3 linked regions of the Arabidopsis thaliana genome follow. The protein of the gene in region 3 interacts with the protein of the main gene of each other region in a pairwise test. Each region holds a gene or a part of one and is shown on either strand. Other genes may lie near its edges. The genes, in order: GUT2, HOS3-1 and AT3G53190.

The links.
Region 1: the proteins of AT3G53190 (region 3) and GUT2 interact in a protein complementation assay, tested with the Arabidopsis thaliana proteins (one large-scale study listed by BioGRID).
Region 2: the proteins of AT3G53190 (region 3) and HOS3-1 interact in a protein complementation assay, tested with the Arabidopsis thaliana proteins (one large-scale study listed by BioGRID).

What each region holds. Positions count from the first base shown.
Region 1 is NC_003070.9:9,527,328-9,535,724, forward strand, and holds GUT2 (Exostosin family protein), read right to left. Parts: upstream 4,163-8,397; 5' UTR 3,887-4,162; coding exon 3,793-3,886; intron 3,582-3,792; coding exon 3,193-3,581; intron 2,940-3,192; coding exon 2,698-2,939; intron 2,452-2,697; coding exon 1,938-2,451; 3' UTR 1,640-1,937; downstream 1-1,639. Other genes in the region: AT1G27435 (uncharacterized protein), read right to left, coding at 629-727, 1,341-1,487; APT1 (adenine phosphoribosyl transferase 1), read left to right, coding at 4,715-4,874, 5,026-5,175, 5,266-5,376, 5,544-5,711, 6,038-6,187, 6,272-6,330, 6,424-6,480; NPGR1 (no pollen germination related 1), read left to right, coding at 7,650-7,847, 7,941-8,199, 8,295-8,397. UniProt on the Arabidopsis thaliana protein: Involved in the synthesis of the hemicellulose glucuronoxylan, a major component of secondary cell walls. Probably involved in the elongation of glucuronoxylan xylosyl backbone, especially in the formation of GlcUA side chain of xylans.
Region 2 is NC_003075.7:17,346,045-17,353,734, reverse strand, and holds HOS3-1 (GNS1/SUR4 membrane protein family), read right to left. Parts: upstream 4,518-7,690; 5' UTR 4,225-4,517; coding exon 3,450-4,224; coding exon of another isoform or gene 3,355-3,449; exon of another isoform or gene 3,108-3,354; intron 2,954-3,107; coding exon 2,802-2,953; 3' UTR 2,572-2,801; downstream 1-2,571. Other genes in the region: AT4G36850 (PQ-loop repeat family protein / transmembrane family protein), read left to right, coding at 1-108, 210-320; AT4G36840 (Galactose oxidase/kelch repeat superfamily protein), read right to left, coding at 853-1,569; AT4G36820 (calcium uniporter (DUF607)), read right to left, coding at 5,741-6,199, 6,289-6,846. UniProt on the Arabidopsis thaliana protein: Probable very long-chain fatty acid (VLCFA) elongase that controls VLCFA composition and functions to inhibit abscisic acid (ABA)-mediated stress responses, including regulation of stomatal aperture, maintenance of primary root growth and inhibition of germination.
Region 3 is NC_003074.8:19,710,993-19,720,587, reverse strand, and holds AT3G53190 (Pectin lyase-like superfamily protein), read right to left. Parts: upstream 6,790-9,595; 5' UTR 6,418-6,789; coding exon 6,278-6,417; intron 6,073-6,277; coding exon 5,818-6,072; intron 5,047-5,817; coding exon 4,838-5,046; intron 4,463-4,837; coding exon 4,212-4,462; intron 4,120-4,211; coding exon 3,928-4,119; intron 3,739-3,927; coding exon 3,530-3,738; intron 3,247-3,529; coding exon 3,051-3,246; 3' UTR 2,848-3,050; downstream 1-2,847. Other genes in the region: UMAMIT6 (nodulin MtN21 /EamA-like transporter family protein), read right to left, coding at 76-138, 222-406; MYB27 (myb domain protein 27), read left to right, coding at 1,194-1,317, 1,406-1,535, 1,620-1,720, 1,801-2,162; NodGS (nodulin/glutamine synthase-like protein), read right to left, coding at 9,400-9,462, 9,566-9,595.

The sequences.
Region 1 (8,397 bases), on a different chromosome or scaffold from region 3:
TTTCCAGTATTATTTTCCTTTTACTGTTTTGTTCCAATTTAAATATTTTATCAAAAGTTTCATTAAAGGTCTAATGAGTATAATAGTGGTATTTTTTTCACTTTGATAGTATACATTGAGAAGGAATATATTAAAAGTGGTAACTGAATAAAAAAATTATTTACTGATGGTTTAAAAATACTTGAAACTTTTCAACAAGATTATTTTCACCTGTTGTTTCAACATGTAATTACGGAGGAAAAAAATCACGGAGAAAACAAAAACTTTTTTTCGATCAACCGGAGAAACAAAAACAAAAGAGTGCTTCAAGTGATTTTCAAAAATGTTCCACAAACATATCCACTTGTAGCCACTAAACGGCCAACATAACTAAGGCACGACAAGGATAAACGGGTGTAGCCAAAAGAACTATATTGAGCAGGCGACGAACAAATTTCTTGATGACAAGAATAATAAAAAAAAAAACACCAATACTCAAATACCATATTTTGCTTTGGTGTGGAGGTGCCTCTTCTTTTGCAAAACTAATAACCAAACACAAGGTTCAAATATTATTTTTGTAAAATCAGGTAACGACAGAGACTTGATCTACGAGTCCTTACAAACTAGGACTAGCTTCTCTTCGGCCTTACGCATTTTTCACCGCATTGCTAGAGCTTTTTGTGTTGCTAGCTCCCGGCGGATTTGGTGCATCTGATTCACCACACGCCCTTAGAACAGCCTCATTCTGCAAGAGACTCTCATAACTATTAAAACAATACTTGCGTCGAAGAATATATAGGAGGGTTGGGTCTTATAATATTTATAAATTCCTAGGTGGTATGAGCTCAAAATCACCACATACATCTTGGTAGATCGACAAGCTTTACCAAAAAATGTATAACACACTGTGATGCACAAGATAGCCCAAAATAGCTCGAAAATAACACAAGCATATTGAGAGATGGACAACCTTTGCATGATACCAAACACCAAACCGGGAAAAATGAATTCCAAGTGTTCCTACTCTGTTCCTAGTTCCACAGAAAGATACATAGAAGCCTAAAGGCCATATACCAAGAACAAACTACACAGTTGGCCTTGTCCTAACTCATTACATCTACTCAGACCTAAGGAGAGCACATCACAATAGACTGAACAACATTTTGCAATCGAAACTGATGATCTTGAAATGAATCCATCAATACTTTCAACACGAAAAATCCATCAATACATTCAATCCTAATCTATCCTTGGCGGGTAATTGTAGGGAAGTGAACGCAGATAAGAGGATCTAGACTACGAAAAGAGAAATGTTCTCTCAAAAACCCATAAACCCTAAAAATGGAATAGGAGAGTACCTGCCAAACACGACGGAGGCGGGTTTTGGCATTGGCTTTACGAGTAGGGGTTAGCTTGATCCGCTTCCAAAGAAGACCACCGGAATCGTGCTTCTTCACTAATTCCATCACTCGAGTTCCCCAAAACGCACCCATTCCTCCTCCCATGGCCGCCTCTCTCGTTCTCTCTCAAGAGCAAAGATCTTAGATTAGTTCGAGTTTTTCCTTCAATCAGCCCATTTAGTAGACTTTAGGCCCATTTCATCTACGAGCTTTTTTTGAATAAATAATTTTCTTTTTTAATAAGGATTCTAATTTGATTCACAACAAAATTAATTACCACATGTTTTCATAACTTTTCAGGTTATTGGACATTGAAACTTACATGATTGGAGTTAGCCAAGACAAAAGGAGTGTACAGTATTATATGATCAATCGAAGAGAAAATGTACAACAAACTTGGTACATGTACCTCGAGTAAATGTACTAATGTTATCTACAAAAAAAATCCACTCGGAGGACTTGGACTTCTAATGTTTTTGAAGTGCTATAGAAAGGCAACAACGTATGCTCTAGGTGAAACCCAAGATATACAAAAAGATTCCTCTCTTTCTGACTTTACCAAGGTTTCAGGTCAGCAACCGGACCAGCAGTCCAGTTCAGTGCCTTCTCACCTGTCTTCAAGTATATGCTTTTGTCGTGGGGTAACTTCCGAGCTAGCCCGTTAAGTATCTGATGGAATGCATCCCCTGGTTGTGCAGGTTGAGGGAAAAGCATGGCTCGTTTCATCGAAGGATTTGCGAGGAGTCTCTGTTTTCTGAGGATCACTTCTGTTGGTATTGAGGTTAGGATCGTGTCTAGTTCAGGGACGTCTTTTTCCGCAACAAAGACTCCTATTTCTTCCCAGGGGATGGCGTCTGCGAAAGGCAGTACTATGTCGTCTGCTATGATAACTGGAATGCACCCAAACACAACTGCTTCAACTAACCTAGGGCTCCATGGAGCCCATCCTAGAGGACATAGACAGAAGATGGCTCTCTGCATGTCTTCGTAGTATGTTGTCGGGTGATCTGTTGAGATGTCAAACAAAGGGTTGTTCTTGAAGTTCTCCCACACCGCTGCTCTTGCACCTCTATACAAAGAGAGAAGTTCCAGTCAGCAGATTCTAAAACAATTTGATCTTAGCTAACCTTATATATAACCTAACTTCCTAATGAGGAATGCTTAATTGTTATCTTAATAGGTAGATCTTGATGTATATGTGCTTCTTTTATTGTATGATACTATAGAGTTTGCAGTTCCATTTTGGTTGAAAAATCTATGTAAGACTAGAGAAAACTCATCACTTGAGAGTTTTACAAGTCTACAAAATATGTACCTTGCATAATATCCACCTTCGGGGTCGTTGTTAACATCATAAAATAAACCGCGGAAGTAGACAAAGATAGAGCGTGGAATATCTGGAGGAATAAAATGGGCCTGCATCTTCTGTGGAGGTGCAAAAGGAGGAATAGTGATCGAGCCTTCGTCCAAACAGACATGGTTCCTTTGACCAAATGTCTGAACCAAAGTGGCACGCTGGAGTAGTGGAAGTATCCCTCTTTCAATGGCTTTTTCCTCCTGTTTAATGTCAATCAAATCTTCAATTCCCACACAAATCATTGGAATATTCCACAATCTTATACAATAAACTCATAAACAGATTCTCAGTTTCCATGTAACTAAGTACTAATGTGATGATACAACAGCTAATTTTAAGCTAATGATCATCTATCATTGTAAGATCACAGGGTATTCTTGATGAACAGCAACCACCAAAGTATTCAATGCATATAAAAAATAGAGTTTGTTCCTGAATGCAGAGATAATCTACCTGATAATGGAAGCAAGCTCCAAAGTCATGGGGCACAACAAAGAAGTGATCAGCTCCTTCAGTCCGATTCCAATAAGGCCAATTTGATGAGATTAGTTGTATCGAACTTCTCATCATACGCGGCGATTTAAACGGTAATGGCAAGCCGGTAGGAGTGAGGTCGCAAGTAGGATAAATTGGCGTGTAAAACCAATCAGCTTCATCAGGATTACGCGTTCGAACAGGACTAGATAAAAGGAACCTGTGCATAAAAATCTCAGCAGCAAACATGTGTGTAAGACATCGAGGATCCTTTTGCAGTAATTTCTTGTTGTACTTGCTTGGAAGCTCATATACATAAACCTTAAGCTTTCCCACTGGATCATCCTCCAAAACATCACCAGCACTTCCTGCATTTCAAAAACACACCTTTTTGAGCTCTCTTACACAGCTGTTACATAGTTCCTCAATCAATAGCATTGACTTCTTAAGCAAATCAAATTATATGTCTATAAACCAAATGCTGGAGAAACGACAGATTTCAAACTTATTTGAGCGACCCTCAAGGATTAATCAATTCAACTCTACATTCCAATCTGCTGGAGCAAGAAGAACAAGTACCTGAAATTCGCTCTGTCCGAACATTTTGTTTAGCGGAAGAAGCAGAGAAGAAGAGGAACAGAAGAATGGCGGAGAGGCAAGAGTGGATTTTCATATCTACCGGAGATGTGTTTGAAGGTTTGGATCGCAGAAAGGAAGAAGGAAGAGGAAGAATATAAGGGAAGAGTATCGTTGGGAGGTCATGGGCGCAGTGGTTGACGAGTTTACTTCGGTATTAGGTTTTAGGGTTTATTTTATTCAGAAGGAAGACGTGAATGGTGAAAATGAAATAGAGTGTCGATGGAAAACGAAATTGGAGAAATAGCTTCAAGTCACAGATAAGTAAGAAATTGCTTGTGATGTACTTTTTTTTTCCTTGAATTCAACGACCAAAGACGGAAACTGGTGCACATCACAAGGCGCGTGCTATTATGGGCTGAGTTAATGTCCATTGGGCCTTGCTAACGTCCAACGTTGACTAGTTATAACTTCCGTAGTAGGTCATGATCGTTTTAGAGTGGCCACTATCAACAACTAGTTAACGACAACAATTTTTTATATATATGTTTTATAGTTGTTGGTAATACGACAATTATAGGTGACATAATTCATTGATTAGCGATTAATATATTTGAGATCACTGTAAAAGAAGTACTATGATTCAGTTTTTGATCGTTTTATGTCATTAGCAACGATGAAATGAACATTGTTATATATCTCTAAATGTAACCATAACATTGTGGATAATAATCTGTTGGAGTGTGAACACTCTGAAAGATTCTAAATCATCCAATTTTATGTGAAGAAATATGTAGAAAAAACAAACAATGGATGAGTTATAGGTTTGGTTAAGACTTGAAAAGTCATTGATCACGGCTTTTGTCCATTATTCCGTGTTTAAAGTAATTTACATTCTCTTTTAAGATCTCTCAGTCCAAAGACAATGCAAACAATAATAATTTCTCCACTTGTTTCTCATCGTCTCTGTCTTGCTCGTGCTGTTCCTTGCAACCGTCTTCTCAACAACCACCACCGTGCTCCTCCTTCGATCCGCCTCTCAAACCACCGTTCAACCACCTCACTCCGCCTCTTCTCCTCCGCCGGTAGACCCCACCACCTTCTATTTCCCTTTTAAACTTTTTGTTTCCTTTTGAAAAAGATATTTTGCTTGCGTGGGGCAATTCCGTCAAAGCGTTACCATTCGGGATAAATTGGTCATTTTTTCATCACTGTGTCTCTCTATTGAGTCTTTAGGGTCTCTCTGTGTTTGCAAATCTGACGCCGAGTATTTTGCTAAAGCAGCAGCCAGTCGGGACAGTGAAATGGCGACTGAAGATGTGCAAGATCCCAGAATCGCTAAGATTGCCTCTTCCATTAGAGTCATCCCCGACTTCCCTAAACCAGGTCTCCATTTTTTCCATTTATACCGATTAATATCGTCTCTAGTCTTGATCTGCGTTGGGATCTTAAGGTTTTAATTTGGATACTTGGCAGGAATCATGTTTCAGGACATAACGACGCTTCTTCTCGACACTGAGGCCTTTAAGGATACTATTGCTTTGTTTGTTGATAGATACAAAGATAAAGGCATATCTGTTGTTGCAGGTAACAACTCGTATGGTTCTGTTTGGTACTCCAATCGATTAACAGCTTGTGGATTTAGTTTCTTTTGGCCTTTTTAGATACTGAGTGCTTTAGCTTAAACTGAAAAGTTGAAATGAATTGGTGGATGATTTTTGGTTCTGCCTAAATTGATGTTGTGGTAAATGCAGGTGTTGAAGCTAGAGGTTTCATTTTTGGCCCTCCTATTGCGTTGGCTATTGGTGCCAAATTTGTTCCCATGAGGAAGCCCAAGAAGCTACCTGGTACATTTTTATTTCTTCCTCTAGTTGCTTGTGATTTTGACATTAAGTTACATGAAAGGTCTCAATTAGGAAGTTGTTAGTTTAAATGGCTTCTTGCTCCAAGTCTACACTTTATCATTATCTCGAACATTAGCAAGGTGACTTTTATCTTGCAGTGTCTTTGATCAATATGATGCTACTCATTTGCTAGATCATTTTTCTTTGTGGTAACTTGCAGTAACTTAAGTGGTTGTTATTTTTTCTGTTACATATCAATGGACTTAGTTGTGTATCTTGACCAGTTACAAGAAATGTATTAAGCCATTTGGAAACTTATGAGCAGTGTCAAATAATTGTCGCATTCCTTGTTTATCCATGGACGTTAATTTCTAAACTGCCTCTGCATTTGGTTCCTTTAACAGGGAAGGTTATTTCGGAGGAGTATTCGTTGGAGTATGGAACAGATACGATTGAGATGCACGTAGGTGCAGTAGAGCCTGGTGAGCGTGCTATTATTATTGATGACCTCATTGCCACGGGTGGGACTCTCGCTGCTGCAATCCGACTACTTGGTAAGTCCAAGATTTGATAATGCAGCATATGCAGTTCAGTTAAACTTGACTATTTCTCACTCCCACAATTGGTTGGTTTTGCAGAACGAGTAGGAGTGAAGATTGTTGAATGTGCTTGCGTAATTGAGTTACCAGAGCTTAAGGTTTAGCTTATTTATCTCTGTTTTACTATCTGCTTCCAATCTCTTACACTGATTTGCTTATAAAGAGATATGTGGGCTGCAATGGTTTTGTAGGGAAAGGAGAAACTAGGAGAGACGTCGCTATTTGTTCTTGTAAAGTCGGCTGCTTAACAAGAAACTGGAAGAGAAGGTTATTGGATCGAGTGTTGATGCTATTTTTCATGTATGGTGAGACATTTTGCGTGGGATTTGATCCTTGTTGTTTCAACTTATCATAATTGGTTCAGACTAGAAAATGGCATTTGAATGTCAGGATTCGATTGCAGTTTCCTATTGTTCCACTTAAAATCCCCGATTAATAAGGTGTTATGGGTTTTATTTATAGAATCAAGTTGTAATAGTAGACTCCAACAGGGGCTAAAGTCTTGGTAACGCAATTCTTCTTTTAAGTTTCGCAGCACCTTGCTCGTTACTTCTCTTCTCAACTCGTAAGGACACAAATCACAATGCTCGTCCATGTCCCATGCTGATGAGTATAATTTGACAATAAGCTTAGGAAGGTAACAAATCTATAAACTTAGGTAAGATCCTCGTTTGCGTAGTAAAAACGAATAATTACATATTTGATTTAATCTCTTTTTCTCTCTCGTTTTTGGGCAAACATTACTTCTCTCTTTCCTCAAAATTATTACTTCATGTTGTTACGTTTCCATACAGATGTATACAATAATTATTACAGTAGGGTATTTTGGGAATGTTTGAAACATGCTATAGTTGAAAACAGATATAAATGTGGGACCTAAGACAAAAATTCAAATTATCTTAAATTAAAAAATAAAAATAAACAAAAAGAAAATCACAGCGTGGTTGCTGCTGGCTTGTTGCTTACATTGACATGAACAAGACACACAGTGCAAAATGACAAAGAGCCCTTCATCGATTTCGAATCTTCTCTCTGAGTAAATCAATTTCACAAATTCGAGGTTTTTGGTTTTTAGCTTACTACACTACTCCAAGAAGAAAATCTCAAGTTAAAGTCATTTCCTATCAAATCTCTTTTCATGGCGGCTGCTATTCTCGTTTCTCCTGTTCGCTAAATTGCGTCATTTTCATGTAAGCTTCTTTCATTTTGCTTACCAAAGCTCGTTTTCACTATGCTTTAGCAACAACATTATTGTAGAGGTTAAAGGCAGCAAAATCTATAGGTTAAGGATTTCTTGTGGTTAATTTCTGAAATTCATGTTTCTGTGTGTTTTCTTAGTGAAGCTTATTATAAAAGCGGCGTAGATCTGTGATTCTACTCATTGCATTTCCGCGTTTGTGAGGAGAAAGAGGAGAAGATGTTGTGTGCTTGTTCAGGCGAACAATTCCGGTTCGAGGATCAGCCCGGTTCGCCGGAATCCCTAGCTACAAGAGATTTCTCAGCTAGTGGACTTTCTTCTCGAAACGGAGGAGGCGATTGGGATTCCAAATTGGAAGATATTCAAGTCGATGAAGCTGAATCGACTTTAAAGGAAGCTCTCTCACTCAACTATGAGGTTGGTTTTAGTTACTCTGATGCATCAATTTTTTGGTTTTAACTGGAATCATCCTGATGCTGAGTTTTGTTTTTGCTTCCTTATGTGTGTTAGGAAGCTAGGGCTTTGTTGGGGAGACTTGAATATCAGAGAGGTAATTTTGATGCAGCACTTCAAGTGTTTAAAGGGATTGACATTAAGGTCTTAACTCCAAGGATAATCAAAGCCATTGTTGAGAAAACTCTTCCTTGCAAACCACGCTCTAAAGCTGTTATTGTGCCTCCCACCACAATGTCAATGCATTCAGTCAGTTTACTTCTTGAAGCAATCTTACTTAAAGCTAGATCACTTGAAGAACTTGGCTCTTACAAAGGTATGTATGCATGAATTTGAATATTACCTGTGTTGCTCTCCAGATTTTTGCATTGGAATCGACTTACATTACCCTGCTGTCTATTGTTTTACCAGAGGCTGCAGAAGAATGCAAAATAATCCTGGACGTGGTTGAAAATGCACTGCCAAGCGGCATGCCTGACGGAATCAGCGGATTCGCTAAACTGCAGGATATCTT
Region 2 (7,690 bases), on a different chromosome or scaffold from region 3:
GCAACATATGTTGGTAGTATTCTTGTCCGAACAACTGAATGGGACAACATCAAACCAAACCTTCCTTGGTTGCTTGATGCTATTGTCTGCGTCGTACTAGATCTATTTGTATCCTTTTCTAACCATTTGCACAGTCTCAACGTGGAAAACAAGTTATCTTATTGCCATTAGGTTGAGCTTTGCTACCTTAATTCGAAAAATCAAAACAGATAATACTGCAGTATATCTACTACAAGTATTGCAGGATAAAGAGCTTGGAAAGCAGAGAAGAAGACGCCTATGGAGACTATGTGGAAGCAAGCAAAACTTTTGTTTCGTGAATCACTATTTATGTTACAAGGATAATTTGATTTTCTTTTGATCTTAAGTATTATTGATTTCATAGTGTATGCATATAAAACCTAATTATTATATGTTCACTAAAACTGCTTTCTGTTTCCTCAAAATCTATACGCAACAAAAGCAGCATTTTCCTTCCACACAAAAACCTGGTCACCAAGATTCTCCTTGGGTGTGATCCTTATAGGAGGAGTCCAAGATTAGTTTTCTGCAGCTCCTACACACTCATGAGCAGCTGAAGCATCATGCATGCTGCTATAGCAGTTGAGGATGCACAAGCATAGAGAGGCTTAGCTTCTAGAAGGGTCAAGATACGTTGGTTTTACCTGTTATGTTGGTAACGAGTCATTAATGAGAATTCAGCATCAAATTCCACCACATACCTCTTAAAAGAAAGAGGCTCTAACTGTTATGTTGTTACTGTTAAATGATTAATTGCCTACTATATGCTTATATCCCACAATCTGATTCGTTGAGTAATATGCAATACAAATAAATATTGGAATGAATATATCACAAATGGACAGAAGCAGAAAATAAGACATCAACGCTATATGAGTTTGAGAGAGGATCAAGTTTGAAGACAACATTGGACCACTCAATCTTCCCCCAAATCTCACCTCCCTCGCGCCTCTCCATGGAAATCTCGGCAGACCAAAGCTCCACACACTCAGGGTCTCCAATATGTGCGTTCCCGAAGATGACAATGTTCCCAGCAGAGTTACTAGAGATTTTTCTAATATCATATTTGACGTTGGTCTTTGACGGTCGTTTATCAGAGGTACGTCTGAAGATGTATCTTGTACCAGAGAGATACAATTGTAGCTGTTCCAAACCTTTTACCTCTTTCCAGTCCAACTCATCTGGTTGGCACCATAGTATTCTACCGCGAGTAGCACGACAGTATAGTAATTTCCCAATGACACACCAATCGTGTCTACTTCCTACCTTAGAATCTTTTTTTCCGCTTTTCCAGATTCTACCTTCACTTGGCAAGAAGCTAAAGCTTTGGTCCTCCTCATCCACGGCGTAAACCTTCTTCTCCTCTATCACCACACTTTGGTTGATACTATGGGCCATCTTCGGCGTATTAAATATACCCCAAGTTTGGTAAACTGGATCGAATACCTCCGCCCAGTTTGAGGAATCAGCGTCCTCTGGGCACCCTCCAAAAACGTAGATCTTCCCGTCTATGAGGCTTGCCGATGCGGAAGCACGAGCCATCTTCATAGACGGGACGCGGTGCCATGTCTGAGAAAAACAGTTGAGGAACAAGACATCGGAAGTGGGATTGCCGTTTATGATTCCACCGATTACATAACATAGATCCCCCAATTCACTACCACAAAAGAAGATGATTCCGGAGCCTGATAGGGGTGCGATGGGACCGGCCTCAGTCGACGACTACCCGTAAGGACGAACCAGCGAGGGGTTGGATCAGGTAAGATGCGCAAGCAGACGAAGAAAGATGGCTCAGTGCAACCAATCAGCGATCGCGTGCTGCAGAGCTCAGGGGATGTTACGAGAGAGCGGTATTTCTTGGAGCGAGAGATAAGGCTGTTTGGTCCAATCTCGAGACGCGAGCCATGCAACTCACAGCCACAGAATCCGGTAATCCAGACCACGACGGAGACGCCTCATTCATCGTCTTCTTCCTTTTACTTTGCGGTGGCACTTCGGGGGCGTAATTGTACATCGTCGAATGCTCTCGCATTCTCAATTCACAACAACACAAATTTAGAGATCTCTAGATCCATAATCATCTGATTGATTGATCGACCTTTCTTGCCATAAATTCTTGATTGGAATCGAGATTTTGTGAAGATAGGCCGATTCGGACAGAAACTATATATATTTTATGGTTTTTACTTTTCTCAAATTAACAAATATTAAAGGAAAAGGAAAGAAACAAGTACTTGCGCTTCACTTTGTCGGTTACTTGTTGTACTTGTGTTTCACTTTGATCTGGAGAGATTTGAAATTCTCTCTCCTCGTCGCCTTTCAACAAGTTCCGCGGTTGGTTGCAAGAGCCTGGACTCTTTGTTTCTGGTTTGTGAGATTGCAGAACCATCGATCGAGAGCTTAAGAGGATTTTATTTTTACAGTGGAGAATCAGATTTCAGATGTGGGCCTTATTATGTAAGCTTTTTTACTATGGGATATGTCATATGTGTGCCTAGTTAAGTAGAAAACCGTGGCCTTAGGCCCATCTTGTTCTACAGTTATAAATGCCTTAACTTTGATTAAGTGTAGTAATATTATACTAGGCCCAAATATTAAATATAGTCGACATAGTTCATTTCCTTATACAATGGTCTAAGGCGAACACTCGACCATATTCGTTTGACCTGTACATTTCCTTATACGGCATTCAAACGGTAAATAGAAAATCAAAAGTGTGTCCCCAAGTAGAGAGATACAATTGCAGCTCTTACAATCTAACACATCAGTCTCAAACCATATTATGTTTTCTCGCTTTTAATAATTTTTCCTCTTATCCAAAATGCATTTTCACTTGGTAAAGAGTATAAGCTTTTGATCATCCTCGTCCATGATCCACCATGTAAACCTTTGTTTCCTCTATCACCACATTTTGGTGGGTATTGTGGTATATCTACGTCATAAAGTTACCCCAAGTTTGAGTCTTTGGATCAAAAACCTCTTATGAAATAAATAAATATTTTTAAAGATATATTTATAAATAATCGACATAATTTCTTTCCACTTAAAAAACACAAAACTAGATTTAAAAGAATGAAAAACAAGAACTAGATTGCGTTAACTAAGAGCCAATAGTTCAAATGTAAAATATCTCATGCAAAGTCAGAGATCGATGGTTTATAAAAAAAAAATTGTCCCGGTTTGAGAAGATGTACAGACCTAGACGCAGAACATTTTAGTTATTAGAAAACAAATTAGATTATACTTCAGTTTTAAAAGTGAAAGACAAAAAAGAAGATTAGATTTGTTTTATTGAGTAAAAAGTAAAAACTAGTAAAAAGGATCAATTAATTCTTAAGCGTTACGTTGGCTATTCATTTTATTAATATGGCGTCGCATTGGCGAATGCATTCTCACATAAAAGTTAAGAAAAAGCAACAAAATCGCACCGTTGAGAACCGAGTTTAAACCCCACGCGCCAATCCCATTGCATCCACCTTTAAAGAGGTGCATCGTAAGAACCCCAGCGTGAGACACGAGATTACAGCCCACGAGAACCAACTGACAATTCACCACAAACGAAGGGAAAGCCGAACCGGGTAAACCAAACCCGGTCCAGAATCTATAACCGTAAACCACCGAGTAAACCAGAGTCGTCGATAGAATCGCTAGAATCTGGTACGACTGCGAGAATTCTAGCCAGAGGAAAGACGTGAAGGCCATGACGGAGTTACAAAAGAGCTGAGACACGGCGAGCCTCCGGCTACGTAAAACGGCGAAAATCGTACGGAACATGTGGAGAAAGCGCGTGAGGTAAAACACGTATGACCAAAAGAAGACACGACCAGAGGGACGAGTCCCGAGAGGGAAACAGAGAAGCCATTGGAGAGGAGTGGCGGTTTTGCTCCGCCGCCATAACCACCGTGTGTCACGGATCTCTGCGGCAGCGGAGAGGAGGATTCCGGCGAAAATGGTGGCGGAGAGGATCGACATGAGAAGGCTGTGGATTTCGGGGATGTGACCTAAAGGAACGGAACGGTTACTTCGGCGTACGGCGGAGAGGAGGATGTGGAGGGAGGATGAGACGGCGATATAGAGGGAGATTGATGTGAAGAGGAAAGACCACGTGGAGCCCCATGATTGGCTGTTACTCCAACGGAATCCGACGATGTATGGATGTTCGGAGAGGAAGTAGGTAATAGAGTTAATCAGAGCCGTTGACATAGTTTGAATTTGATCGTACGGTGGTGGTGATCACAGTGACTCTTCTTCTTCCTCTGTTCCTCTAGTCCTGTCTTTTATATGTGTGCGTGCGACTTTTTCGCAAAGTGAATCTCTGTTTCTGCTCTTATTTTTTTTGTTGGGATATTTAATTTCCATTTTCCAATAATTGTTGTAGAACATACAGTAGGTCACTAAATGGCCGGTCTTGTCATGAAAGCAAAATGATGTGGACCAATATTAATTGTCACATTTACGTGACAAATTTAATTTGGCTACATAAATGAATATTGTAAAACGGTTATGAAAATTTTTAAGATTTATGGTCTTAATGGGGTTTTACTGTTATTGTCGAAAATCGAAATAGCAAACCATATTTGAAATATCTTCAAAAAGATCAGAAAACTTGGTACGCGTCAAGTTGACCATTACCATAATCGAAAAGCAGGTGGGAAAACCAAAGAACCTCTAGACACGAAAGAGAGTTTGGTGTTGAGAAATTCAGACAAGCGTCAATTTACAGATGCCTTCATGGTTAAGTTTTAAGTTTTACTCAAGGAGCTACAGATGAGAAAGAGTGCATTACGTAAAACAAAATGCAAATATTGGAATATGGATCGGGCGATCGTTACGAAGATGAATCTACATCAGTAATCAGTAACGAGTTAGTATTAAATTACTATTTCACACAATTTGATGACCAGCTAAGACAGAAGATATTTGATACGTATCAAATAAAATTAGTAGAAATCAAATTGTCCTAATCGTTATATTGGCAATAAGCGTTATAGTACCACGTGAGTAAACAAAAATATTAGATACGTACCAAACAAATGCGGCAGGAACAGTGTAATATATCTCTTTTTCACTATGAGGAATTTGGTTTTGTCCACTTGATAGTATTTTCCACAAGTGACTCTTTTCTTTAGTCTCATTTTCCAGAAGTGATTCTTGACCTACCAAACTAAGTATTTTATTTACACGGTCGTAGTTGATTTCTCGTGAATTAATTAAAAGGAGACTTGGACGGTGAACTTACAACGACTACTCCCACGCATAACATGTTCTATCAATCATTTATGTAAGCCCGCCGAAACAATCATTAAGCATATGTTATACTTGTTTAATTTATAAACTAAAAATCATTTAAGTTAAAACTAAAACTAATTTCGGAATTGGCTTCAACTAAGATTTAGGCCTCAAATGACAAGGTTTTGTTGAGTTTTTGGTATAGATAACATGTTTAAAGTAATGATATCTCATATGCATATGCATGGAAGTATTGTAACATTTAACATTCAGAAAGTCAGACTTGAAATTTATAAATCTACATCACAATCGATTCTTTTATCTACTCTTCCAAATTACATAAGCCGCACTAATAGAACTTTTTTTTTTTTTTTTTGTCTTTTTCCTATTTTCCTAGAAAGATTATGAAATATTCAAAAATTATAGTTTGACACAATTTTGGGGGTCAATATATCTTTCTCAGGTTAGTAGGACAACGAGACACCAATGATCAATTCTGTAGAGATCCAAGAATCTTGGGAACAGCACCTGAAGGCTTGGGATTAAACAGCTTTTTCAGCTCATCATACCTCCCAACATCAAAATCCTCAGATTGCATCAGTTTCCTTTGTTTAGCCTCAAACCTGCTTTGGTAAAAACCTTGAAAGGAAGGCTCTCTCGATGTCTTGAGGAAAAATGTGTAACCCGCCATGAAATATACCGATGAGACATAGAAACAGATCGGTTCCATAACATCCCATGTCAGGTCCCAAAACGTTAGCCTCATAAACCCTGCGGTTTGGATGATCAAGTAACCCAAACCAGCCCAAAGCTCTCTTCTCACCAAAGAATGTGCTTTTTGGTCAATGACCGTCTTTATAGCTTCAAGCTCATTTAGCTCCTTTCTTCTTGGGTCATTCGGGTTATGGATTTGTGATAAAGGAAGAAGCCCCTCTATGGATTTGGTTAACTGATCAACACACAAGACCTTATCAGAGAATTGCATAGACAAAAAAGAATTCAAATGGTAAAAAAAAGCAAAGAGGAGGAAGAAGTTACCTGATGAGGTCTTAAACAAACAGAGTTTCCCATAACGATAACGTTTCCTGAATCATCAAGCATCTTAGCGATCAAAGCTCCTTGAGAAGGATCCAAAGAAGAATCACTACAAACACCTAAGAAATCTGAGTAACGAATCCAGATTTTTCCTGTCTCCATCAGCTTCGTTTTAATAACTTCGATCTCTGCTGCTCTTAGCAACTTCTTCACGTCTTGCACAGTAAGCCCTAACGTCTCCTCCTTCGGATGAGAAAGTCCGTCTAATCGAATCCGATCCTTGTTCATATCCATTTCTTTAAGCTTCTCCATCAGACTCTCCCCAATAGACATCTTCGAAGTCGTATCAATCCCATTCATGGAGAATTTATTCAAAAACCTCTGAGAAATCGTCAAATCTCCAGGCTCTGGATCAATCGTGGCTTCTCCTATATCTTTAGGAACCCTAGTTCGCATGGCTAACGAAGAAGAAGACGAAGTACGACAGTTCATGAGACTTTGCGACGCCGTTTTTGACATATTGAACAAACGGTTCGACAAAAGCTTCTTCATCATCACCATGACGAACAGAACAAAAAAAAAATACGAAAAATCGAAATCCCAGAAAGGAAGAGAAGAAAATGAATTCGATTTCAGTTACTACTTGAAAAAATGAAACAGCAAGAGCGAGCTTTATATAGGTAACCAAAGTTCTCTGTTACAGTTTTAATTTTACGTTTAACATAAATCTTGTGGGGCCTTATACACGTCAGCAGATATATCACGAGAAATTCAATAAACGCTGCCTTTTCGTGAATATTGATAGGTGACTACCGTCCACGTGGATAGATTTATGTTGGTGATAGCTTTCGATGCCTCAATAACCGTCCGATTAAATTTTAAAAAGATATAATATCTTGATAACTTATTTGACTATGAGTAAATTACACAACAGAATTAAAAAGAAAGGCAAAAACGTGTCGCCACATTTTCTGTTTTATCTTGTTATTATCTCTTGCATCTAGTAGTAAATGGTAATGTTGAAGAGATGATTTTTTGAGATGTAATAATGTCTATATAAGGAAAACTTAGTAAATATTTGAAACAATGACGTGTTGCCACATTTTTCGTTTTTATCCTTTGCACACCTAATAAAGAGATAACAAATGTGATGTAATGTGGATGTAACTACTGTGTCTGGTTAGGTAATTCAGTAAATTTAAACACACGGACGTGTCGCCACATTTTCTGTTTTATCTACAAATTTGTTTTTCAAAATAGCATCACCGGATAAACATGTTGAAAAAATAAATAATAAAATTAATGATAAACACGTAGAATTAAAATATAATTTTCTCTATAATTTATAAACACGTAGAATTAAAATGATAAACCTGATATTTACGTTTAAATCCAAATACATGTT
Region 3 (9,595 bases):
AACCAAAAATGAGTATTGTAATCAAAAGTTTTTTGTCATTGATCTTGACTCCAAGATATAAAGACAAGATCATACCCAACGAGTCCAAGAAGGAAGAATTGAATCAGAAAACTGATTTTCATCGCCGGTCTTTCTTTTCTGTTAGAAATATACAAATAATATCAAGAATTAAAGAATTGAAGATATAAGATTTAGTTTGGTTTAAAGAAGTGTAATTATACTTTTCAAGGAAGTAAGCAGAGGGAGCAAGAACAGAGAAAGCGACGATGGTGCGGTAAAGTGGGAAGACGAGCTTGCTTACTCCTAAGTTTAGAGCATATCTCATGATCACGTGATTACCAGCGTAGCCTGTCTGAAACACCACCATAGCTATGTGAAGCTTTGCCCTTTCCGGTATCGGAGACATCGTTCTCCGCCGGAAGTAACCAAAGACGGCAGGAGAGATCTGTTTTGCTTTTTTTAGTTCGAATGATCTCTTGTGGCGACTTTCTTGAAAACGACAAAAACAGAGATAAGACTGTCATGTGCAGGTTGTCTGAGTCTCACGTGAAATGTGAATAGTCTAAACCGATTTTAACCAAAGCCATTTTCAACATTGATAGATTTCATTAACCGGCTCAATTAGATGCGTCGATTTTAAACTCTCTTTGTTGCAAAAATGAGATTAGGCTTAACACTGGGATTTACTTAACTAATCATACTTAAGAGTGCTTCGTTGGCTTAAACTTTTAAGTGAGTGGAAAAAAGATCTGGTTTCATCTCTTTCTATCTTCTTTTTTAAGTCCCTAAGATATTGAAATTCCAAAATCCAAACCCGATTGGATACTTAGATTAGTTAATTAAATTTTAAGATGATGAAAGCCATAATCCCTGAAGACAATGATAATAAAAAATCACAAGTTGATGATGATTCAAAAGGAAAGATACTTGGAACCTAATCCAAATCTATAATCTATAACTTAAAAGATGACCTAGATCAAGGAAAAACAAGAACCTAACTAACTGATGCATGATGTTATTATCCACTAAACTATTTGTGTTCGTCAGCTTTTTGGACATTTTTCCCAATTTGGGTAAACTCATGACTTTACTATTTAAGCAAAGCCAAAGCATGCTTACAAGTTCAAAGCACAATTTTAGAAAGGATTTAATTAAGTATAATAACACAAAGAAACAGAGTAAAAGAAAGAAAAATGGATTTTAAGAAGGAAGAAACACTTCGTAGAGGGCCATGGCTCGAAGAAGAAGACGAACGGCTAGTGAAGGTCATTAGTCTTTTGGGAGAACGTCGTTGGGATTCTTTAGCAATAGTTTCCGGTACACTTTGAAACCTTATTTTGTGTCACTTTCCAAAAATAGAAATTTACATGTCCGAAATATATGTTTGTTGTGTTCATACGTATAGGTTTGAAGAGGAGTGGTAAGAGTTGCAGGCTAAGGTGGATGAACTATCTGAATCCGACTCTGAAGCGTGGACCGATGAGTCAAGAAGAAGAGAGAATCATCTTTCAGCTCCATGCTCTATGGGGTAACAAGTGAGAGACAAAAAAAACCCTTGAATCTTGTACTTACATGATTGTTTTTTGCGGTTTGATTAATCAAATATTGTATATCAATAGGTGGTCGAAGATTGCGAGAAGATTACCCGGTAGGACTGATAACGAGATAAAGAACTATTGGAGAACTCATTATAGAAAGAAACAGGAAGCTCAAAACTATGGTAGATATTCTTTCATTGTTGCATATGTATGTTAGTTTTAGATAAGCATTCATTGAAAAAAATGATGTGTTTTTCTGCAGGAAAGCTCTTTGAGTGGAGAGGAAATACAGGAGAAGAATTGTTGCACAAGTATAAGGAAACAGAGATCACTAGGACAAAGACGACGTCTCAAGAACATGGTTTTGTTGAAGTTGTGAGCATGGAAAGTGGTAAAGAAGCCAACGGTGGTGTTGGTGGAAGAGAAAGCTTCGGTGTTATGAAATCACCGTATGAAAATCGGATTTCGGATTGGATATCAGAGATTTCTACTGACCAGAGTGAAGCAAATCTTTCAGAAGATCACAGCAGCAATAGCTGCAGTGAGAACAATATTAACATTGGTACTTGGTGGTTTCAAGAGACTAGGGACTTTGAGGAGTTTTCATGTTCTCTATGGTCATAATTCTAAAGTTGGTTTATTTACTTTTTAACTGATGGATAATTGAATTCGAAAGTGCTATATTAAAGTAACAAGTGTTCCAATATTCAACCTTAATGTACACAAATATGTAAAATTTGAACTCAATTTGAATCGGTTATCAATATGAAATTTGAATCGCAAGTTTAGTCAAGGTCAAAGATAAAGTTGTTAATCTTCACACAATAAACAATTTCCTAAACAAAATAAAATAAAATAAAAATAAAGGTACATATCCATAATAACAAATTAAGTAAAAATATAGCATTGATGTGTATAGTCTTGTTATATACAGCAACAAAAACATGAGAAGTCCATGCTCCAATGATGAAAAATTATAAGTTTTTTTATGTTAACATTATTGGTTGATGGGCTTCACCTTTAATATGAATTAATTTTAATTGTTTTAGTGTACTTTTGTGCCAAATGATTTGTTAAAAATGTTTTATATTTTATTTTTTCAAGGGAAAAGTATTTAATGTTCAATATACTAAATTACAATATCCTAAAGTAGATTATATTGGTATGATCCGAATGAAGTGTAGATGCATGTATGGAACGCCCTCTTGTATATTAGAAAAGACAAGGAAGAAGATAATATAATGCTAAAGATTAATATCTAATCTCTATTAGACTATTAGTTATGTAATTAATTAAAGATAGGATAGGACTATTACAACGTCACGATTGCATATACGTATACAATAAACACACACGTGGTATTATTATTAAGAACTATAACATTTTGTAAAACTACAAATTATGAGGTCCATTAAAACTACATAAAGATCATAGAAGAAAAGAATGCACAAGAATGAGTATGGAAACAACTTTTTGCTTGTTCCTTGATAAAATAGGTAAATTCAATTCATGTTACAACATAAACATTTGGGTTGAAGAAGTGAACACGACCAAATATGATATCGAACTTAGCAAGAAAACAAGAACTGAAAAAGATAACCGGTTGGTTGAACCAGCGCCAGACATTTCATCGGTATAGTCATTATAAGAATCTAAACCGCTAGTACCTTCCGATCCAGTAGTAGTCCACATCCCCAGATTGTTATTCCTGTACCAAATCAAACACCCTAAATTAGCTCCATTTTGACTTTTTGAGGTTAATTATGAAAATAGTGGGGTAAAAAGAAGTTAGACAAAAGAAAAAGAATAAAGTTAAAGCCAAAAGTAGAAGAAAACAAAAGGGTATGTAGACATACCATTTTTTAATATGGTTTGTGTTGGTAAAATAAAAGTTTCAAAGTATTGATTTGTTAAAAAATGAAATGTTCTTTTTCAAAGGGAAAAATTTGGCAAAGAGTGAATCATTTATTGACAAAATGTAGAATCCAAACCTGCCACCAACGCCAAGAACACCAGAGTGAAATGTGATTTGGGTGATGAATGAGGCGGATTTAGGCTCGACGCTATATGCCTTCTCATACCTCATTTCCGCACCTTCCCCGGATGCCACGAAGAAGGCTCCATTCACCAAAATGTCCCCCTCCGATCTCCAATTCCACCCTTTCCAATCACCATCCGGTGTTTCCACTCTCTTTGTCACCTACACAATGACACTCTCCATTAGTAAGATGAATGTTTTAAAGATTACACTTATTAATGAAAGTTTCACAAGCTGGATATTTATCCCTAATAAAGTTGGTATAGCTCAAAACATCATGAAACCAAAAGCAAAGTCTAAGAATGGACTAACGAACCAAGACTATAGAAAACATGCGGAGGGTTTAGTTACCTCCTTGGCAAACGGGTTGGTTGGGGCGGTGTAGCGGTTACCCTGACTGTTAATAGTCGGGTTACCGCTACCGCCAATGGCATACATTTCCCATTGAGTAAAATCGTTATTAACCACATGGATATATCCACGTCGACACCTCGGCATCCTTTGTATCAATTTCTCTCCAAAGTGATTAAACGCAATTGTTACCTGAAAAATCACACTAACATTCAAATATTACGCTCATTTAAAATAAAGTAGTCACTAAGAAAATGTATATTACGGATTAGTGTGTGTTTGACCTGCATGCCACTGTCTGGTTCATAGTGGTCGCTGTGACCAAGAAGCATGACTTCATTATGGTGAGAGAAGAAGTTGTTCGATATAGTTATTCCTGTGGAACCCATTACCGCATCTATCAGACCGTCCTTGCATCTCGATAGAGAACAATGGTCGATCCAAATGTCCTTTGATCCGAATATAGAGATACCATCACCGTCCGATTTCGTTCTGAACCCATAGTGCGTTGGACTTGACCGCACGTTAGTATTCCCTAACGAAAGCGTGAACAAACATATTTTCAGAATACTTTTATGAATAATCAATCAATGCTATTTCAGGAAGGACGAAAGATTTAGTTTTTACTTTGTTTTTCTTGCTTACCATACTTTTATGAATAAATCAATAAATGCATATAAATTCAAACAAAACATGTTTTCTTTGTTTGCGTGTGAAAACACCAATCAATGAGAAGGAAAATATGTACACCAACAAAAGGGACCTACTAAATTATTAGGGCAAGAAAAAAAAAAGGTTAAAAAGTTAAAAGACTAACAATTATTGGCCGTAAAAAAGAAAAGATAATTGATTTTTGGAGTATACATAATTTGAGATAAGAGAAAGTGTGAAAAGAGCTAAAACTAATTACCGGATTGGTAACAATGGTGGATATGGATGTTGTGAATGATGATATTGGAGACATATTGAAGAGTGATGCAGCCACCACCAACAATGTGAACATTAGCTCCTCTCCCATCAAGTGTCTTGTAACTATTGAATATTAGCTCTTGCTTTAGTTTAATCATCATGTTGCTTGGGAACACTATCCACAATGGCTCTTCTTGTATCACCCCATATCTGTCACCAAAATTTTAAGAATTTTCACATTGTAAACCCGTTTCCTTTGACATTGATAAAGATTCCCCCAAAATTATTCGAGGTCCCATGTCCCAAGAGACTGATACACTTGTTTTATTATAGTTGTCTTTTCTTTAGATTTATTATATGATTCGCTTCTCAGGTACAGTGTTAAAATTAAAATGTAGGGACATCAAGTGTAAACATCGTAAACGTTACGTTTCTATGTTTTAAAACGGATTTAGTTTATCAAAATTATACAGCTCTAAATGTTTAAAGAGGGTTTTGAGGAGGTTTTGAAGAATTTAAAGAAAAATCACTAAATCAGGGTTGTTGGGAAATATTCCACAAAACGGAGGGTTTATTTAGAAATATAAACAAGTGGTATTGAAAAAGTCGTACATAATAGATTGGTGTGGGACATGTGAATATGAGATGACAAAAGAGAGAGAGAAAAGTAAATTTGGAATAGATTAACTTATAGCTTACAGAATCTTATTTTCTTATAGGATTTAAATTATGAAAGTGTGTATGTAGGTAGGGTTTAGAGCTAATAACAATAATGACATGTAATGTTCAAGTATAGTATATAGTGTTAGTGTTGTTAACTAAACAACATAAAAAAAATCTAGCTACGGTCAAAACACGATAATTAAAGATCATATAATTGTCTAGAACTAATAAAAGACAACACATATTTGTCTATTTGTCAAGATGTTATACAAGACTTTCTTACAAGAAAGCCGGTTGAGTCGGTTAACAGAAAGGTACCTGAGAGTGCCCGGTTTAGGGTTGACGGCATCATCGTCGGAAGAATCAGTGACAAAGTAAAACTGACCACCTTTGCCTCCCAACGCGTACTGTCCGAACCCGATACCACAATCTGCTAGACCTTGTCTGTTATTGGGCCAGTTTGGGTCACATTTCCAACAGTCATCGATTGGGTTACCGGTGATACACGGGGTCGAACCGGCCTGGTCCGTCGTGTCTAGAGCTTGACGCCTTGTTATAGATGCATTTACTTTCCTGCAAAACAGTTACAAACCGTATTATTAAAGTCTTTCCGGTTTAAGAGAACAGAACAAAACAGAGGAAAACAGAAAAACCTCAGATTCACAAGAAGACATGAAAATAGCTTGTCAAATGTAATAACCAGATGGAAAAATTACATTAAAGAAGTTGAAAAAAGAGAGTAAATGTAGATCCAGAAGAGGCAATGTAGTAAGTGTACCACTGAACTTGATAAGCGACTAGTTCCGGGTCAGGATGTGGTATGAGAAGAAGAGTTCTGTTGAGCATCGAGAAAACCATTTGTGGAACCAACAGAAAAAGAGAGAAGAAAAGTACAATGCAGCTTCTTTGAAGCATCATTGCTGAAGAAACTTGTGATTTTAAGGATTTTAGGGTTTTTGGTTGGTGAAATGGAGGGAGAAGAAGAGATTAGTTAAGAGTTAAGACATGGCTTGTTGTTCTTCTTCTTCTCTCTCTGGTTACTGAGGAGTGTTCGTGAGTGGCTTTTTTACAGTGTGTTATTGCTTTTGTAATAATGGCTTTCCTTGGCTTTTGTATTTTTGTTTTTCTTTTTGAAGAGAGAGAGTGAAGTTGTTTTCCACTGACAGTCTCGAGGATTGAGAATCTGCTTGTCTCGAGGAAACGGTCTTCAATTTTTCCTTTTTTCTTTTATTGTACTAATATCTAATTAACCTAATTACTCACATAAGATAAGGATATTCATAAGCCTTAACAGATTTTAACTAAGGATAGGCTTTAATATTTGAATTCTTGTCAGGTTTTTCAACTTTTATTACAAAAAAGTGATGTGACGTTATAATAACCCCACGAGCTATAGTGCTATACAATATGAATGCTAGTATTAATGGGTTTCTGGACCAGAAAAAAGAGTTTTAAGTTAATTCGATACATCCCATAAGAGATTTACTAACATTTTGAGTAGACCAAAACCAACAGGAATATGAATACATCCAAATTACCAAAATCAATAATTAGGGTTTGAAATTGTAACCTAACCACATGTTCCAATAGTAACAAAATTATCTATATATATATATATATTCGTTATTATTAGAACTGCATTGCAGTTGAACCGCACGTATTTATTCGGAGTTTAGGAACCGCAGGTCTAACTACCTGCCACTATTGCAAGTTTGTAACCATATCTATCCAACCAAGGAAAGAAACCTACTGTGTCCATATACTCATATACACATGCGCACAAACAATCATACATGAGTATGTTTTCATAAATTAGGATTGGTTAAATAAGGCGTGATTGTTGGATTATTATTAAAGTTGTTTTTAGATTACTAATGTAAGCTAAATGTAGTGTTAAATAACGTGATGTTAGGCGACATCTTTGGAGAAGAAAGAAAAAAAAACATTATAGATATAAGGATATACACTTTGCCTCCTCACATGTTCAATAAGATCATTGTAACCAATCATAGTGTCCATAAAAGTCATTGCTTTGCTTGTGTTATTATTTTCCACGAACGATGAAATTAAGGAGTTCATTAAAACGCCTACATTACGTAAAGTAATCTTCTTTTCTCAACTTTTGTAATAGTATGCATCTTTTATCAATTTGTCATTATCCAGAATGATAATTTAGATTGAGACCACTTCTTCACTAAATTGTCGTAGTATCCAACATAACAACTATGGAGGTGGTTTTTGCTGAGGCCTAAAACAGAAGAAATATATATTTGACCGGAGCGTGGTGAAATAATCTGCTCCATCTCTGATCTCTCTCGGTCTCGGAGGAAAACTTATAAGTGGAAATAGTCAAAGGCTCTTGCTCTTTATTCTTTAGCTTGTATTATTAAAGTATTCGAATCTTTGTAATATACGGTGGGGACAACTTATAGCTGCATTTTTTGTTTGTCAATAAAGTTACTGATTTTACAGTAAATCCTTTATTGGCTCTTGTCAAAGCGTCATGGACCCATGGTCCTATCTATGTATTTTTGTAAAAAATATTTATTTTATTTTATCATATTAATAAACCACTTAAACCGGAAATTGGTTTAGGTATTACAAAATTGAACCATGTACAAAATGCCGGTTTCTTATCCCAACGCAAACCAACAAAAACGAAACAAAACTGTTGATACTTGATATATACGCAAAGCAGTTTCACGCTATTGTCTCGTTTTCACCTTGTATTTTCATTTTAATTCGATTCTACAATCCAAAATTAACAGCAAAGTCAATTGAATGTTAACAACAAAATTGATAACGTTGGTTTGGAAGATTTAGAGTAAATCTCTGTCTTTCTTAGGCTGGATTTTAACGTTTTGACCCCATATATCTATCATTCGTACATTTGACTACAAAATTACGTACATGCATGCGACAACAAGATTCTTTTCAAAGGACCTTGCATTGACTTTTATTGTTGTAGTAGAAAGGTTAGATTTTTCCTTCAAATCTTAGTTATAGTTTCCCTTGAACATATAAATCTGTAAAGTTTTAGCTGATTCGTTTGCAAAGGGAAGCAGTAAAAGCTCATTATGTTGTACGTATACCTTCTTACGAACAATTAATTTGTCTAGTGTGAATGAAATCATAAAGTTTGCAAGAAAAAAATTTGGACTTATTAATAAGTTCTCTTCCATAGTCACATGGAGATGGATTTTGTTCGTCCACTTGTTTGAGCATAATAAGCGTACCGTATAAACCTAATCTTTACTTTAATTTCTATACTTATCGTTCATATTTTAAGGAAATTAGCTAGGTAGCATAACTTAATTACACTTTAAACTCCAATTTCTTAAAATTAAATAAATAATATGATGAGATTTACCAAAAGAATGTCATACTAACCTTTTCTTTCATAAAAAAAAACATGTGCTTTAGTTTGCAGATTAAAGGGAGATTAAATATGATTAAATAGGTTAATTAGTCAAAGTAATGAATAAGAAAGATTTGAAAAAAAGGGATCAGGCACCTACCTAGATAACAATAGCCGGACTAAGAACATGGAAAGAACAATGGTTAAAGGGTATTTGCGCTCCTAATACTACAATCATTTTTTTGTTTCCGAGTATTAGTAGTCAAATTCAATTCATAGACAAATGTAAATGATTAAGAACTACTCCGTATTATTGAAAATACTCTGTATATTCTTGAGGCTTTTGAAAGCATGGGACGAAAAAGTAAGAAATACAAATAGTACTCCAGCATGAGCATGCGTCTCGAAATATGAAATTTAGTTTATTAATTTTCTGAACCACATCTTTATGTCAAGTATTTTGCAAATACGACCCTTCATGTGACACAAAGTCCACAATAAAACCAAATGATCCAACAATCATCATAGAGATGCTCAAAGGATTAGTATCGGTGAATGAGTTGCTTATATGCATCCGGATTCTTCGAATAATACTCGACCTCAGCCTGTTACACAAAAAAATTTAAAAAGACAAAAACAATAGATTAGTGCTAATGTACTTTGTTACCACTGAGAATCTAATGGGAAACTAAAAGACTATAGTGTTACCTTACGGACTCCTTTTATGGCAACTAAAAG